Anolis sagrei: one gene and its partner. The protein of the gene in region 2 purifies or fractionates together with the protein of the main gene of each other region. This does not show direct contact. Links are inferred from orthologs where the notes say so. Each region holds a gene or a part of one and is shown on either strand. Other genes may lie near its edges.

Region 1 (7,695 bases), on a different chromosome or scaffold from region 2:
CGGTGGTGCAGTGAGCTGTTGAACTTGCTGATCGAATTCAGGGAGTTGGGTGAGCTCCCACTGTTAGCCCCAGCTTCTGCCAACCTAGCAATTTGAAAACATGCAAATGTGAGTAGATCAATAAGTATCACTCCAGCGGGAAGGTAACAGCACTCCATACAGTCATGCTGGCCACATGACCTTGGAGGCGTCTATGGACAACGCCAGCTCTTCGGCTTAGAAATGGAGATGCTTTGGTTAGACCACACCTGGAATATTGTGTCCAATTCTGGGCGCCACAATTGAAGAGAGATATTGACAAGCTGGAATGTGTCCAGAGGAAGAGGGCGTCTAAAATGATCAATAGAGACAAAGTTGAAGTACTTTGGCCACATCATGAGGAGACAGGAAAGCCTAGAGAAGACAATTATGCTGGGGAAAGTGGAAGGCAAAAGGAAGAGGGGCCGACCAAGGGCAAGATGGATGGATGGCATCCTTGAAGTGACTGGACTGACCTTGAGGGAGCTGGGGGTGGTAACGGCCGACAGGGAGCTCTGGCGTGGGCTGGTCCATGAGGTCACGAAGAGTCGGAGACGACTGAACGAATGAACAACAACAAAATGATCAAGGGCCTGGAGAACAAGCCCTATGAGGAGCGGCTTAAGGAGCTGGGTGTGTTTAGCCTGAAGAAGAGAAGGCTGAGAGGAGACATGATGAGGGCCATGGATCAGGAGGTGAGAGGAAGCCACAGGGAGGAGGAGGGAGCAAGCTTGTTTTCTGCTTCCTTGGAGACTAGGACGCAATGGAGCAATAGCTTCAAACTACAAGAAAGGAGATTCCATCTGAACATGAGGAAGAACTTCCTGGCTGTGAGAGCTGTTCAGCAGTGGAACTCTCTGCCCCGGAGTGTGGTGGAGGCTCCGTCTTTGGAAGCATTTAAGCAGAGGCTGGATGGCCATCTGTCAGGGGTGATTTGAATGCAATATTCCTGCTTCCTGGCAGAATGGGGTTGGACTGGATGATGGCCCAGGAGGTCTCTTCCAACTCTTGGATTCTAGGATTCTATGAGCACCAATCCCCAGAGTTGGACAAGACTAGGGTGCTCATCTTCATTTCTAAGCTGAAGAGCCGGCATTGTCCGTAGACGCTTCCAAGGTCATGTGGCCACTGGCATGTCTGCATGGAGCACCATTACCTTGCTGCCGAAGCAGTACCTATTAATATACTCACATCTGCATGTTTTTGAACTGCTAGTTTGGCAGAAGCTGGGACTAACAGCAGGAGCTCACCCTGCTCCCTGGATTCGAACCACCAACCATTTGGTCAGCAAGTTCAGCAGCTCAGCAGTTTAACCCACTGCACCACCAGGAGGCCATTACTATATTGCAATATTCTTACTACATATTGTAATATTGTATTATTATTAGTATCATATTGTATTACATTATAATATTATTATAAATATTATATCTATATACAATATATGATATTATTAGCATAGCTCAATACTAATGTTATATATTACTATATTGCACTACACCACTATACTGCAAATAATTATTAGTAAGATGACCTGTAATACATAATATACAATTGTATTATATTAATATATTGTACTATATTATTATAATAGCAATATAATATGAAATAATAGGAATAAGATAATATAAAGTATTAATATATACTGAATACACAATAGACTAATAATATTAACAAAATAATCATAAATTTATTTATTTATTTTATTTACAGTATGTATATCCTGCCTTTCTCACCCCTGGGGGGCCTCAAAGCGATTTACACATAAATAATGGCAAGTTTCAATGCCTTACATCGGCACCGATACGATGCCAATACAAACAATTACAATAGTAAAACCACAATTAAACATCAATCAAAGTTAAAACAATACATCAACAAGCATTAAAACAATAAAACAGTCTTGTCAGTCGAATTGCTGTTCCAGTCAATGTCCTCTAAAATATATAAATAAATATAAATATATAAATAAATATAAATAAATAATATGATTCATGTGAAATTATATATATGTATATGTATATATATGTGTGTGTTTATAATACTAATATCAAATAATATATAATAATATGGCAACAAAATAATATAAAATAACTATATGTACATACAATAATACTATAATAATAATAAATTATATGAAATAAAATAATATATAATAATATTAATATCAAATAATATATAATAATTAGCAACAAAATAATATAAAATAACTATATATATGCACATACAATAATACTATAATAATAATAAATTATATGAAATAAAACAATATATAATAATACTATTATAAAATAACATACAATGGCAACAAAATAATATAAAATAACAATGTGTTTATATATACACATACAATAATACTATAAAATAATACATGTAATAATATAATGTCAACAAAATAATATAAACAATATATATATGCATACAATAATACTATAATAATAATAATAATAAACAGAGATAAAATTATTTATATATATATATATATATATATAGTAATATAAAATAATAATATAATGGCAATAAAATATTGAAAAATAACTCTTTCTCTCTCTCTCTCTCTCTCTATACACACACACACAGAGAGATACACAATAGTACCAGTGCTCTAAAATAATGCTCCTGATGGGAAGGCAATGGGAAGCCGGAGCATCCTCTCTCACCAATGGCTGTGCCTGGGAAGGAAGGAAGGAAGGAAGGAAGGAGGAAGGAGCCCCCCCCCCCTCCGGAGGCCTCCCTCCCTCCCTCCCCAGCCGGTCTCCTCCTGGTTGCATAATCCCTGCTGGGAGGGCGCCTGGGGGGCGGGGGGGGGGCGTAGGAGGCGGAGGCGCCGAGACCCCCACCATCCATCCCGGGGTGGGGGGGGGAGAGGGAGGGCACCTGCTGCGGACTACTGCTCACCTTGCTCTTGACCTCGATGACGGGCTCGGAGGCGCGCGCCGGCGTCCGGTGGGGCTTGGCCATGCTGGGGGGACCCACCGGGACAGGAGGAAAGGGAGAGCAGAGGAGAGGAGGGGGCTAGCCCGGCTCCCCCTCTGCCTCCGCCTCCTCCTCCTCCTCTGCAGGCAGGCAGGCGGACCCGGGGATCTCGCCCCCGCCACCACCACCGCCGCCGCCGCCGCCGCCGCCGCCGCGCCTGACGTCACCGGCCCCGCAGGTTGGTTGCGGGAGAGTGAGGCGCGCCATTGGCCGCAGAAGCGCCGCCGAAAAGGGGCGGGACGAGCAGGACGCCCCCCCCCCCCGGGGAAGGAGGGAGGGAGGCCCACAACGTCGCCTTGGCAACCGGGGCGCACCCCCCCCCCCGCAACCCCGCAACCCCCACCCCGCCTCGCCAGGGACCTGCCCCGCTGCCATCCCGGTTGTGGGTCCAGCACCTGAGTCGGGAGCAGCATCACGGCTGGGGAGGGGGGGGGGCAGAAACAGAAGGGAGGGAGGGAGGAAGGAAAGGAAAGGAAAGAAAGAAGGAAGGAAGGTGGGAAAGGAAAGGAAAGAGGAAAGGAAAAAAGGTAGGAAAGAAAGAAGGAAAGAAAGAAGGAAAGGAAGGAAAGGGAAAAGGTAGGAAAGGAAGGAAGGGGAGAAAGAAAGACAAGGAAAAAAGGAAGAAGGGAAGGAAAGACAGAAAAAATAAAGGAAGGAAGGAAAGAAAAAAGATAGAAAGGAAAGACGGAAGGGAAGACTGAAATGGAAGGAAAGGGGAAAAGGCAAGAAAGAAAGAAGGAAGAGGAGAAAGAAAGACAAGGAAAAAAGGCAGGAGAGAAGGAAAGACAGAAAAAATAAAGGAAAGAAGGAAAGAAAAAAGAAAGGAAGGGAAGACGGAAGGGAAGACTGAAATGGAAGGAAAGAAGGAAGGAGGGAAATAAGGAAGGGGAGAAAGAAAGACAGAAAAGGAAGGAAAGGAAAAAAAGGCAGGAAAGAAAGAAGGAAGAGGCGAAAGAAAGACAAGGAAAAAGGAAGGAGGGAAGGAAAGAAAAAAGATAGAAAGGAAGGAAAGCAGGAAGGGAAGACTGAAATGGAAGGAAAGAAGGAAGGAGGGAAAGAACAGACAATACATCAATCAGGCCACGGAGTGACCATCACTTATAAAAACACTGAAAAACACAGCAGACAAGACTTAAAAAGCCAAAAAAAAAAAAAAACCCACACTACAATGCACGCACATAACCACATTGTTCCACTGACATTAAGTCCAGTTGTCTCCGATTCGGGGTGTGTGTGTGTTGGTGCTCATCTCCATTTCTAAGCCCAAGAGCCGGCGTTGTCCACAGACACCTCCAAAGTCATGTGGCCTGCATGACTGCATGGAGCACCCTTACCTTCCCGCCAGAGAGGTACCTATTGATCTGCTCACACATTTGCATGTTTTCGAATTTTATTTATTTATTTATTTATTTATTTATTTATTTGAGGTTCTTGTACCCCGCCCTACTCACCTCGTAGGGGACCCAGGGCGGCTTACAACAGCAAAGGCACGCTTAGATGCCTGCCACACAAAACAATCATCACAGAAGTACAACAATTCATAGTTAGCACAATTCAAGCCATTATCCCAATAAAAACAATTAAAATCGATAAAATCAATAAAATCAATACAAACCTAATTCTTCCTCCTACCCTATCAGTGTACACTAACTCATAGATCTGTTTTTGATTCCACTTCAACAATCCTGCTGATCTTGCACATCTGATTGTCTTATTTAATTGTCTTATTTAATTGCCTGGTTGCCCAAAGGCCTGGTTCCACAACCATGTCTTCACCCTCCTCCTGAAGGAGAGGAGGGATGGTGATGCTCTAATTTCCCCCGGGAGTGAGTTCCACAGGTGAGGGGTCACCACTGAGAAGGCCCTGCTTCTCGTCCCCACCAGCCTCACTTGTGACAGTGGTGGGGTCGAGAGCAGGGCCTCCCCAGATGATCTCAAACTCCGAGGTGGGACGTAAAGGGAGATACGTTCAGACAGATACACTGGACCAGAACCGCACAGGGTTTTGTAGGTTAAAACCAGCACCTTGAATTGTGCTCGGAATTGAACTGGCAGCCAGTGGAGCTGGCATAGCAGGGGGGTGGTGTGCTCCCTGTATGTCGCTCCAGTGAGCAATCTGGCTGCCACTCGCTGGACTAGTTGAAGTTTCCGAACAGTCTTCAAGGGCAACCCCACGTAGAGCGCGTTGCAGTAGTCTATTCGGGATGTAACAAGAGCATGGATCATCATGGCCAGATCAGACTTCCCAAGGTATGGGTGCAACTGGTGCACAAGTTTTAATTGCGCAAAAGCTCTCCCGGCCACCGCCAAGACCTGGGGTTCCAGGCTCAGCGATGAGTCCAGGATCACTCCCAAGCTAGGTTGGCAGAAGCTGGGGCTAATAGAGGGAGCTCACTCCACTCCCCGGATTCGAACCTACGACCTTTCCATTAGCAAGTTTAACAGTTTAACCCACTGTGGGTTTTGGCATAACCACATGTGTATTTATGCATAAACACATACACACACACATATACACATACATACACAAACAAAACTCATATACACAGACTGGGTCACAGCAACGTGTGGCAGGGGATGGCTAGTCTATATAAATAAAAATGTAATGTTTGTTTGTGGGATTAATGAAACTGAAAAACCACTGGACGAATGGACACCAAATTTGGACCAAGACCCCTCTCAGGCCAATGAGTGACCATCACTCAGAAAAACACTGGAAAACACAGCAGAAGGGACTTAAAAGCCTAAAAAAGAACAACATTCCAATGCATGTGCAAAACCACACACATATATATGCAAACACACATATATACGCACATGCACAAATATATATTTATGCATAAACACATACACAGACACATATACACATATATACACGCACAAAACACATATACACAGACTGGGCCACAGCAATGCGTGGCAGGGGATGGCTAGTAGTTCTTAAACCCAGGAATGGGCTGAAGCTGCCCGTGACAAGTCTTCAAAGGCTCCACAACAGACCGGCCTCTCTCCAGCCGCACAAGTCTGTTTCAACATCATGAATTTTAGACTTGAAATAAAAACTGGGGAAAACACTTGACGCTCTTCCTTTATTTATTTTTGGATCAAAGCCTTTAGATCTTTTTGCTGTCACCCTGACGGTTGCCAAGTTTTCCTGCCACTGGGGGGGTTTGAAACGGGGTTTTTTGGACATGAAAGAGATTTTTCTCCCAGTTTAATAGCATGCTTTTGTTGTTGTTGTTGTTGTTTTTAATTTGATTTTACACTTTGAAAGGATCTCTCGGCTTGGCTAGAGATGGAATACATTGGGTAAGAGTTGGCAACAGCCGTGCTGCCAAGCTGGGTTTCTTTCTTTCTTCCTTTCTTTCTCCTTGTTTACATATCAGTTTGGAAAGTGTGCCGTCGTCGTGCGCTTTGCCATATCTTATCTCCTTGATCATGAAAAGTAAGAAACATAAGACGATCCGTTCTGGTGCGCATTTTGGGACAAAGCACGGCCTGTTCTGAAACTGTTGCCAATACATTTCTTTTAGAGGCTCTAAGGTTTAAATGACACTGAAAGGGAAAATCCAATTTCTCGACACTAGGCATGTTTTCCTTCTCTCGCAGTAGCCGTTCCCTTTCTGAACCCAAAAGGCCTCTCCTTTGGTAAGCTGCAATTCGCTCTATGTGGAAGGGATGATGATGCCTTTGGTGCTGAAAGATGTTGCCTCTACCGACTTGTCACAGTGTAGCTCAGACGTTCAGCCTCTCATCCACTGCTAGACTACTCTGGAATATGGCTGGCAGAGGTCTCTCTGCACAGCCTTAACCTTGGCTGCACATTGATGCATAACCATCTTATGTGCGGGTTATCATGGGTGGGATGCATATTTTGCATTGTTGTAGGATTTCAGGGGGTTTGTCTCTTTTGAGGTTTTTCTGCTGCAGTGGGACTTGCGACCTCATCACGCTAGAGAATGAATCCACTCTAAATCCAGATTCTGCCTCCTGCAGAATTCTGGGGTTTGTAGTTTAGAGGGGAGCTTTTAACAGCCTCATTAAACTACAAACCCCAGAATTCTGCAGGAGGCAGAATCTGGACTTAAAGTGGATTCATTCTCTAGTGTGATTAAGTAATCGCTTGTCCTGAGCTCCCCACTAAAGTTTTGCACTACATGCTGCTATTTATTTATTTATCGTGTCATCAGTAACCATTGTATTGCAATTCTAACAGAGCAAAACAAACACACCGATTAAAAAGAAAAAGGAAAAAAAAAACACACAGATTTTGCAAATTTGGTATTTGGTTAAATGTCCTTTGACCAGTATCTGGCCACTTGGAGTGCCTCTGGGGTTGCCGCAAGGAGATCCTCCATTGTGCATGTGGCAGGGCTCAGGGTGCATTGCAGCAGGTGGTCAGTGGTTTGCTCTTCTCCGCACTCGCATGCCGTGGATTCCACCCTGTAGCCCCATTTCTTAAGATTGGCTCTGCATCTCGTGGTGCCAGAGCGCAGTCTGTTCAGCGCCTTCCAAGTCACCCAGTCTTCTGTGTGCCCAGGGGGGAGTTTCTCATCTGGTATCACCCACGAATTGAGGTGCTGGGTTTGGGCCTGCCACTTTTGGACTCTCGCTTGCTGGGGTGTTCCAGCGAGTGTCTCTGTAGATCTAAGAAAACTATGTCTTGATTTAAGTCGTTGACGTGCTGGCTGATACCCAAAC
Region 2 (7,195 bases):
GAGTGAATTTATCAGGGATGCTGGGAGCTGAACTCCAAGTTCACCAAGGGGGCTGCACAATCTCCAGCCCTATGATTGGGGAAGGCAGAATTGCATGGCCGTCTGCTGTCCCTCAAAGGCAAAGATGACAACCATTTTCACAGCAGAACAGGTAGAGGTGAAGGGCAAAGGAAGCAAGTCATTGATCTAGAATAATAAGCCATTGTCTGAGCCTGGGAATGAAAACCTGGTGAAAGACTATTAATAAGACAACCACAGAGGGATTTATTCCCAACAATAAGGGAAAGTATTTCAAAGGGATCCAGTTTTCACCAAAACAGGCTGGAATAAATGAGACCTGGTAATGTGTTGCCCTTCCTCCAACAATGTCCCTATTTCAGCCAACAATCCTTTACTGTCTGAAGAATCCCGCTTGCATTAGAAACTGTAGTTTGGATGCTCTGCCTCCAAATAAGACTCCAAGAAAAGCAGGAAAGGAGTTTACAAGCCTTTAGGTGTGGGATTTTGTTAGCTTCCTGCTTTGCTTTGCCTCAGGGGGTGTAGCAAGGCCATTTTCAGTAGTCGAAACTCAACAAGACAAGCCCCTTTATTAGGCAGGGAGTTCTGTCGATTCAAATTGCTAAAAGATTGCATGGAGGTTTCAGTTTGCCTCAGGCTTATCAGCAGAGGCAGTCATTACATCAAACCAACTTCAGCAAAGTTATTTTTGTACTACAACTCCCAGAATGCCCCATCCCGTCAGGTTATAGAAATTGTTTTCTGGAAGATAAATTCAAGTTGTTATAGCCCAAAGATAAATTTCCTCAGGCTTTAATTTAAGTCAAACCTGGTTCAGTTTGTGAACGACAGTCATCTCCATAAAGAATAGCTACTTAATTCAGGATAGCTTTTTACAACTTAAGAACTGGTTGCCTGTATTAAAAACTCCATGACATCAAATAAAGAGCAACAGTCAAAAAACAGGGAATTTCAGACAGGAAACAATCAGGGCCAGCTAACACCTCCCAAAAAAGGATACCACAGGCAGGAAACAGCCAGGCTTTGAAGCTGCCAGGCTATTCAATGCTAATCAAGCTGGCCAATTGCAACATTCACACTTGCCTCAAGCAGACAAGAGTTCTTTCTCCCAACCTGGACATTCCACAGATATATAAACCTCACTGGCCTAGTTTCTAGCAGACTTCATAACCTCTGAGGATGCCTGCCGTAGATGTGGGTGAAACATCAGGGGGGAATGCTCCTGGAACATGGCCATACTGCCTGGAAAACTCACAGCAACCCAACTTCAGAACTATCTCGATCAAGGATACATCTACACTATAGAATTAATGCAGTTTGACCCCACTTCAACTGCCATAGCTAGTTTTAAAAGATCTATAGCTTTCTCTGTTAGAGTACTGGTGCCTCGCCAAACTACAACATCCACAATTCCATAGCATTGAATCATGGCAGTTAAAAGTGGGATCAAACTGTTTTATAGAATCATAGAGTTGGAAGAGACCTTGTGGGCCATCCAGTCCAACCCCATTCTGCCAAGAAGCAGGGAAATTGAATTCAAAGCACCCCCGATAGATGGCCATCCAGCCTCTGTTTAAAGACTCCAAAGAAGGCGCCTCTTACTGTATAGAAGTTTTAATCTTACTGTATAGATGCACCCTAAATGTGCCAAAGCATTGGCTTTCTCTCATTGCATAAATTAACCCTCAAATCTCTGTCTTGTGGCAAGATCATTGTCTGCTTTCTGCCAAGCACTTTTATTCTATTCAAGCAAGCTTACAAAAGGAAGCACTTTTATGCCAAATGACTACCTTGGCCTTCGTCAACTCATAAAGTGGCATTAAGGAAAAAAAGAGAGCAACCTGAAACAAATAATAGCCACGGGGAGCGAGGTTATAGCCTTGCTTTGCTGCTCACCCTGGCACCTGTGCAAACAAAAGTGTCCTTATAGGGAGAAGAGCAAACCACCTCCCAGAATACCTTCGGTTTCAAGCCACACTGCAAGGCCAGGCGAACAAAGCACCAGAAAGGCCGCACCACACCCGGAAACCTAACACCTGGAACTAGTTCCTTTCACCCAGGTAAGTCTCTCAGCCCACAATGGCAGGCTCCCCAAGGTCGGCCCACCCTCACCTTTAGCAAAGCCTCATCCAACCTGAGATACTGTCAGATCCAACCCCATCCACCCAAAAACTCTTGTGTCCTAGTGTTTGCGAGTGCATCTACACCAGGCATGGGCAAACTTAGGCCCTCCAGGTGTTTTGGACTCCAACTCCCACAATTCCTAACAGGAATTGTGGGAGTTGAAATCCAAAATACATGGAGGGCCCAAGTTTGCCCATGCCTGGTCTACACTGTTGAATTAATGCGGTCCAGCACCAGTTTAATTGCTATGCCACAATGCTATGGAATCCTGGGAGCTGTAGTTTGATGAAGCCCAGCACTCTCTGGCAGAGAAGGCTACAGACCTAATGAAACCACAACTCCCTGGATCCCAAAGCATTGAACCATGGTAGTTAAAGTGGTATCAAAGTGCATTCATTCAGCAGTGTGGATGCACCCTCAATCAGATCCTAACAAGAGAGCTGATTGGAGTACACAGCAAGTGTCAGGCTCCAGACAGCCCCCCTCCCCCAAACCCTGGCCTTCTACCCCATCCCCCTCATACTTGAGGTCAAAAGAGAAGCACCCCAAATCTGTTCCCATACCCTCCCCAAAACACACACTTCAGCAAAGCCCGGCTGCAAACTTACCTTCCAGCAGGGAGGCAAAGCTGTAACCCCACCCCACAAGGAAGGAAGGAAGGAAGGAAGGAAAGCTTGCCTCTTCCCTTTTCTTTCTTTCTTTCTCTCTCCCTCGATCTCTCTCTTTCTCTCCCTCCCAACCCCACCCCCTTACTTGCAGCCTTGGCCCTATTTCCACGCCCACCCTCTCCTTTCTCTCTCTCCCCCCCCCCCCTTCCTCCGGCTCTCCATATCTCGTTGCTTACCGCACAATCTCGCCCTTCGAGCAGCAGCAGCAGCAGCAGCGCCGCCGCCTCGCCTTCCTGGATACCTCCGGGAGGGGGCGTTCCCGCCGGATATGCAAATGAGCCCCGGCGAAAGGGCGGGGTTAGCGCGGCGCCTTCTTTCAACCCGGCTCCTGAGTCATTATTCACCGCAGCCAATCGGGAGTCAGAGCTCATACCCCCCCCCCTCCTCCTCCTTCTTCCTCCGCCTTTCTCTTCTATCTCTCACTCTTTAGCTCTGGCCAATAGAAAAAGAGCAGAGGGAGCGGGGGGGGGGGGGGGGAGAGGAAGGGAGAATTGGAATCAGAAGTGCATGCTCCTTCTGAGCCAATGGGGAGGGGAGGGGAGAGTAGGGGGTGTATTTTTCACACTACACTGTAATGAGCATGCCTGCCATAGATGCAGGCGAAACGTCAGGAGAAAATGCTTCTGGAACATGGCCATACAGTTAATCTTTAACTTACAAAAACCCCATCATTAATTCTTTCTGACACTACTTTACTGCCATGCGATAGGATCCAGGGAGTTTGGTGATTTCCCAATACTTAGCAGCAGCAGAGAAGGCTACAGACCTTGCAAAACTACATGACAGTTAATGGTGTCAATATGCATCAATTCTTCCGTGTAGATGCATCCTTAAGCCACTATACTAGCTCTCTCTATATTCTGCCCACCCCATTTTAAGCCAATTGACTGTTAAGACCCAAACCCAAGTTCTGCATTAGTTTCAAAATCAAATTGTATTTCCTCTCTTCTAATTTTTGTGCTGCGGCCTTATTTCTGGAGCAGAAAAAGAAAAGGTAAAGGTTTTCCCCTGACATTGTCTAGTCATGTCTGACTCTGGGGGTTAGTGCTTGTCACCATTTCTAAGCCGAAGCGCTGGTGTTGTCCGTAGACGCCTCCAAAGTCATGTGGCTGGCATGACTGCATGGAGCACCGTTACCTTCCTTCTGGAGCAGTAGCTATTCATCTACTCACATTTGCATGTTTTCAAACTGCTAGGCTGGCAGAAGCTAAGCCGTATTGTAGGGGTCCCTTAGAGAGCCAAAGAATGCCCCATGGGATCCTAACTGAACGATGCTTCTTATTCTAAACATGAAGGGAGAATTTCATTTTCCAGGGTAGCTTTTAGAAGTCAGTGCTCCACTACATTAATTAAATGTGGGTATAGCTATGGCCCCATCTACATTGCCATAAAATGCAGTGTCAAGCTGCATTATATGGCAGCATACATGGGGCCAATGTGGGTCACAGTGACAAGAAAATATTTGTAGTTGTGACTCAGTGGAATCATTGCCTATTTCTTCCATCTCCCCCTCAAAGCCGACAAATCTTTAACAGGTAATAATTATCGGTGCCAATGATGTTTCTTTCATCATCCCATGCAGGAAACAGCTTTATTATTAGCCTTTAAAGGTGTCACAAAACAGCTTCCTATTCATGCAAGAAACTTTTTTGTGAACTTTGTGGTGACAAGAGCATGAGATATGTTATCCTACCAGGAACTAAAGGAACAAACTTCAAGTGTACCTTTAGGCTACGACTGGACACAAAATGTTTTGAAAAGGACTATTACAACAATAAGAGGCATACCAGGAAGTAAACTACATCATTTGATAGGATCTATGGTTGAGTAAACAAATTCAGATTAAAGGTTGCAAGCCTCAGTGAATGAAGGCGGGAGACCTATCATTTGTTTAACCATGATCATAATCATCGTTTCTCTCTGTATATATTTCAAAGTATATATGTATGCATGCATATTTTTCCATTTGTACCACAAAGGAGGTTATTAGGTGAAGTGGCCCTTTGTGATGTCACTGGATTGTTTGTGGCTATATAAAGGTGTCCTCTGTGATGTCACTCGGAAAGAAAGGGGACACAATTACGAGCAGAAAGAAAGAAAGAGAATAAAGAAAGGAAAGGCAATGATAGGAGGGAGTGGGGGAGAAAGAAAAGGGAAACATTGTGAAATAGCCTTTTCAGAGCTGAAGAAGGGAGAAAGTAGACAGGCAGTGGTACCATCAACACCTGGGAATGCCAGGTATATAAGCTAGTTTAGTATATTTTTAAAAGTACCATATTTCACTGCATAATAGTCACACTTTTCTCACCTTTTTTGCTTTTTTGTGACTATTACATTGTGGCAACTATTACAGGGTGAAAAAATTTCCAGCTATGGGGCTTCACTTGGCTGCCAGACAAGTGAAGCCCTGTAGCTAGAAAGGGGGCAGGTGTGTGGTCGAGTGAAGCTTCCCCTGCCTACATGCCTGCCCCATTTACAACTATGGGGTTTCACTTGGAGCTTCACCAGCCAAGTGAAACCCCATCTCTCCAAGGAAGCAGGCACATGGGTGAGTTGCACCCTTCCTTCACTCGCCCAAGCAGATGTGCAGGCAAGTGAATAAAAGGTGCACTTATTGTGAGGAACAGAAAAATACTAATTTCCCACCCTAAAAATGGGCGTGTGACTATTATTCAGTGACAACTATTGTGTGAGGATATTTTTAGTTAGTAACCACACGGGCTGTAGTTAATACACGGTAATACAAGGGTTGGCAGAGTGAAACTGGAAAGACTCCTGGACCTTAAATGGTTGTGCAGAGCAAAACAGAGTATGTCACCTTCTTACCTGCTTGTCTGACATTCAACATCCACCAAAATGTCCTCTTCTACACAAGCATTAAAGGCACAGGAACACTCTCACTCTGGCAACTGGAAGTAAACAATACAAAGAAAACAAGGACTAATTTCTCCAAAAGGTGCCATTCTTTGTGGCATTGCATTTAAAACATTAGCCTTTAATACATCTGCACCAGGTTGTGATGTGTTATTTCTTCCATATTATCCGACTTCAGAAGGGGAATTGCACAGAACCAGTTGATTTGTAATTGAGATGTGAGTCATAGCTCAGGAGAAGCAGTCAATGTGTGCCGGGCAAAGTATCAGAAGAAATATGAGCCAATAGATTTAGTTTCAGCTGAATTACAGAGATTGTGAATTTAACCCCAGGGGATTTCCTGTCTCTTTCATCTAGTCCTTGTTTCTTTTCTTTCTTTCTTCTTTTTCCCTAGCAAGCTGCTCACTGAGGCCCCTGTGATGGCTGAGCAAGAACTGAAACTAAATCCCAGGGTGGGACCTGTCCTCCTTCACCTGTTTTGTGACACTGCTCTGTAGTACAGAACACATTGTTAAGCAACACAAAACTGGAAACTCCAGAAAGCCTGCATAAATCCTTCTTCTGGTTTGATAATAATTTTGCCCGTGTCCCTGGATACAAACACTCTCCTGATCTGTCATTCTGTCTCCAAATTGAAGGGATGACTGATATTTGGTTTGGTAAGACACCCAGTTAATAAGTAGTTTTTTACTGGACTACTTCCAAGGAGTGCATATGATTTATTCCAACGTTGAGGATTTTTTATTTACTGTACTGTCAGGAAGGTGATCCCTGTTTGACCAACATAAAGTGGATTCTTTACAAATAAATTGGATGGGGATAGAAATATTAAGGTACTGGATTACTAGAAGACATGTTGGGCTTATTTCCTCCATCCTCCTGTCTGCACAAAGCCAAAGCTATTTTTTTACTGATGGCTTTGTTGTCAAACACCAATCCCCCCCCCCACCACCACCACCACCACCACCATGGAAATGCAGTATCTGCGGGAGTTGTAGTTTCCTGGGGGCGGAGGGCCTCCATGAGTTGCCATGGCCCTCACCTCACTGAGTCTCCCCAGTTGCACCTAAGCACTCCTGATCAGCGACGCATAACCCCCATTTTCCAAAAACCCTGCCAACTCAGCTGGTTTACTGGGATCTTTCTGGAGCAGCGCACAACCAGAGCCCAGGGAAGCCAGCAATGGCTGGTGCCACAGAGTATCAACCTGCCTCACTGCCAGAGATACACTATATCTCTCTTCCTCCCTCGCTAGACTTCATTGCTTTCTCCTCCACTTCGCCCCACTATCTATAACTATTTTCTTTTTATTATTTTTCCCACTGCAAACCTGCACATGTGCACATCACATCATATAACAAAAATAAGGCAATCAACCCTCTCCCGCCTCTAAACATGTATGAAATAAGACACATTCTCTTTTCATCGGTATTTATTTATGAAATTATAAACTTTGAAGGTAAAACTGAAGCGTATTCCAATAAACTCTGAACATCTTCACTCCAGGATCC

Evidence for each region.
Region 1: the proteins of LLGL2 (region 2) and PARD6A purify together in Homo sapiens (affinity purification with mass spectrometry; 5 studies listed by BioGRID and IntAct, with this or other methods). This does not show direct contact. The link is inferred for Anolis sagrei from reciprocal best matches to the Homo sapiens genes LLGL2 and PARD6A.

What each region holds. Positions count from the first base shown.
Region 1 is NC_090028.1:43,969,637-43,977,331, reverse strand, and holds the start of PARD6A (partitioning defective 6 homolog alpha), read right to left. Parts: upstream 3,051-7,695; 5' UTR 2,980-3,050; coding exon 2,917-2,979; intron 1-2,916. UniProt on the Homo sapiens protein: Adapter protein involved in asymmetrical cell division and cell polarization processes. Probably involved in the formation of epithelial tight junctions.
Region 2 is NC_090022.1:117,844,067-117,851,261, reverse strand, and holds the start of LLGL2 (LLGL scribble cell polarity complex component 2), read right to left. Parts: upstream 3,089-7,195; 5' UTR 2,987-3,088; intron 2,869-2,986; exon of another isoform or gene 2,751-2,868; intron 1-2,750. UniProt on the Homo sapiens protein: Part of a complex with GPSM2/LGN, PRKCI/aPKC and PARD6B/Par-6, which may ensure the correct organization and orientation of bipolar spindles for normal cell division.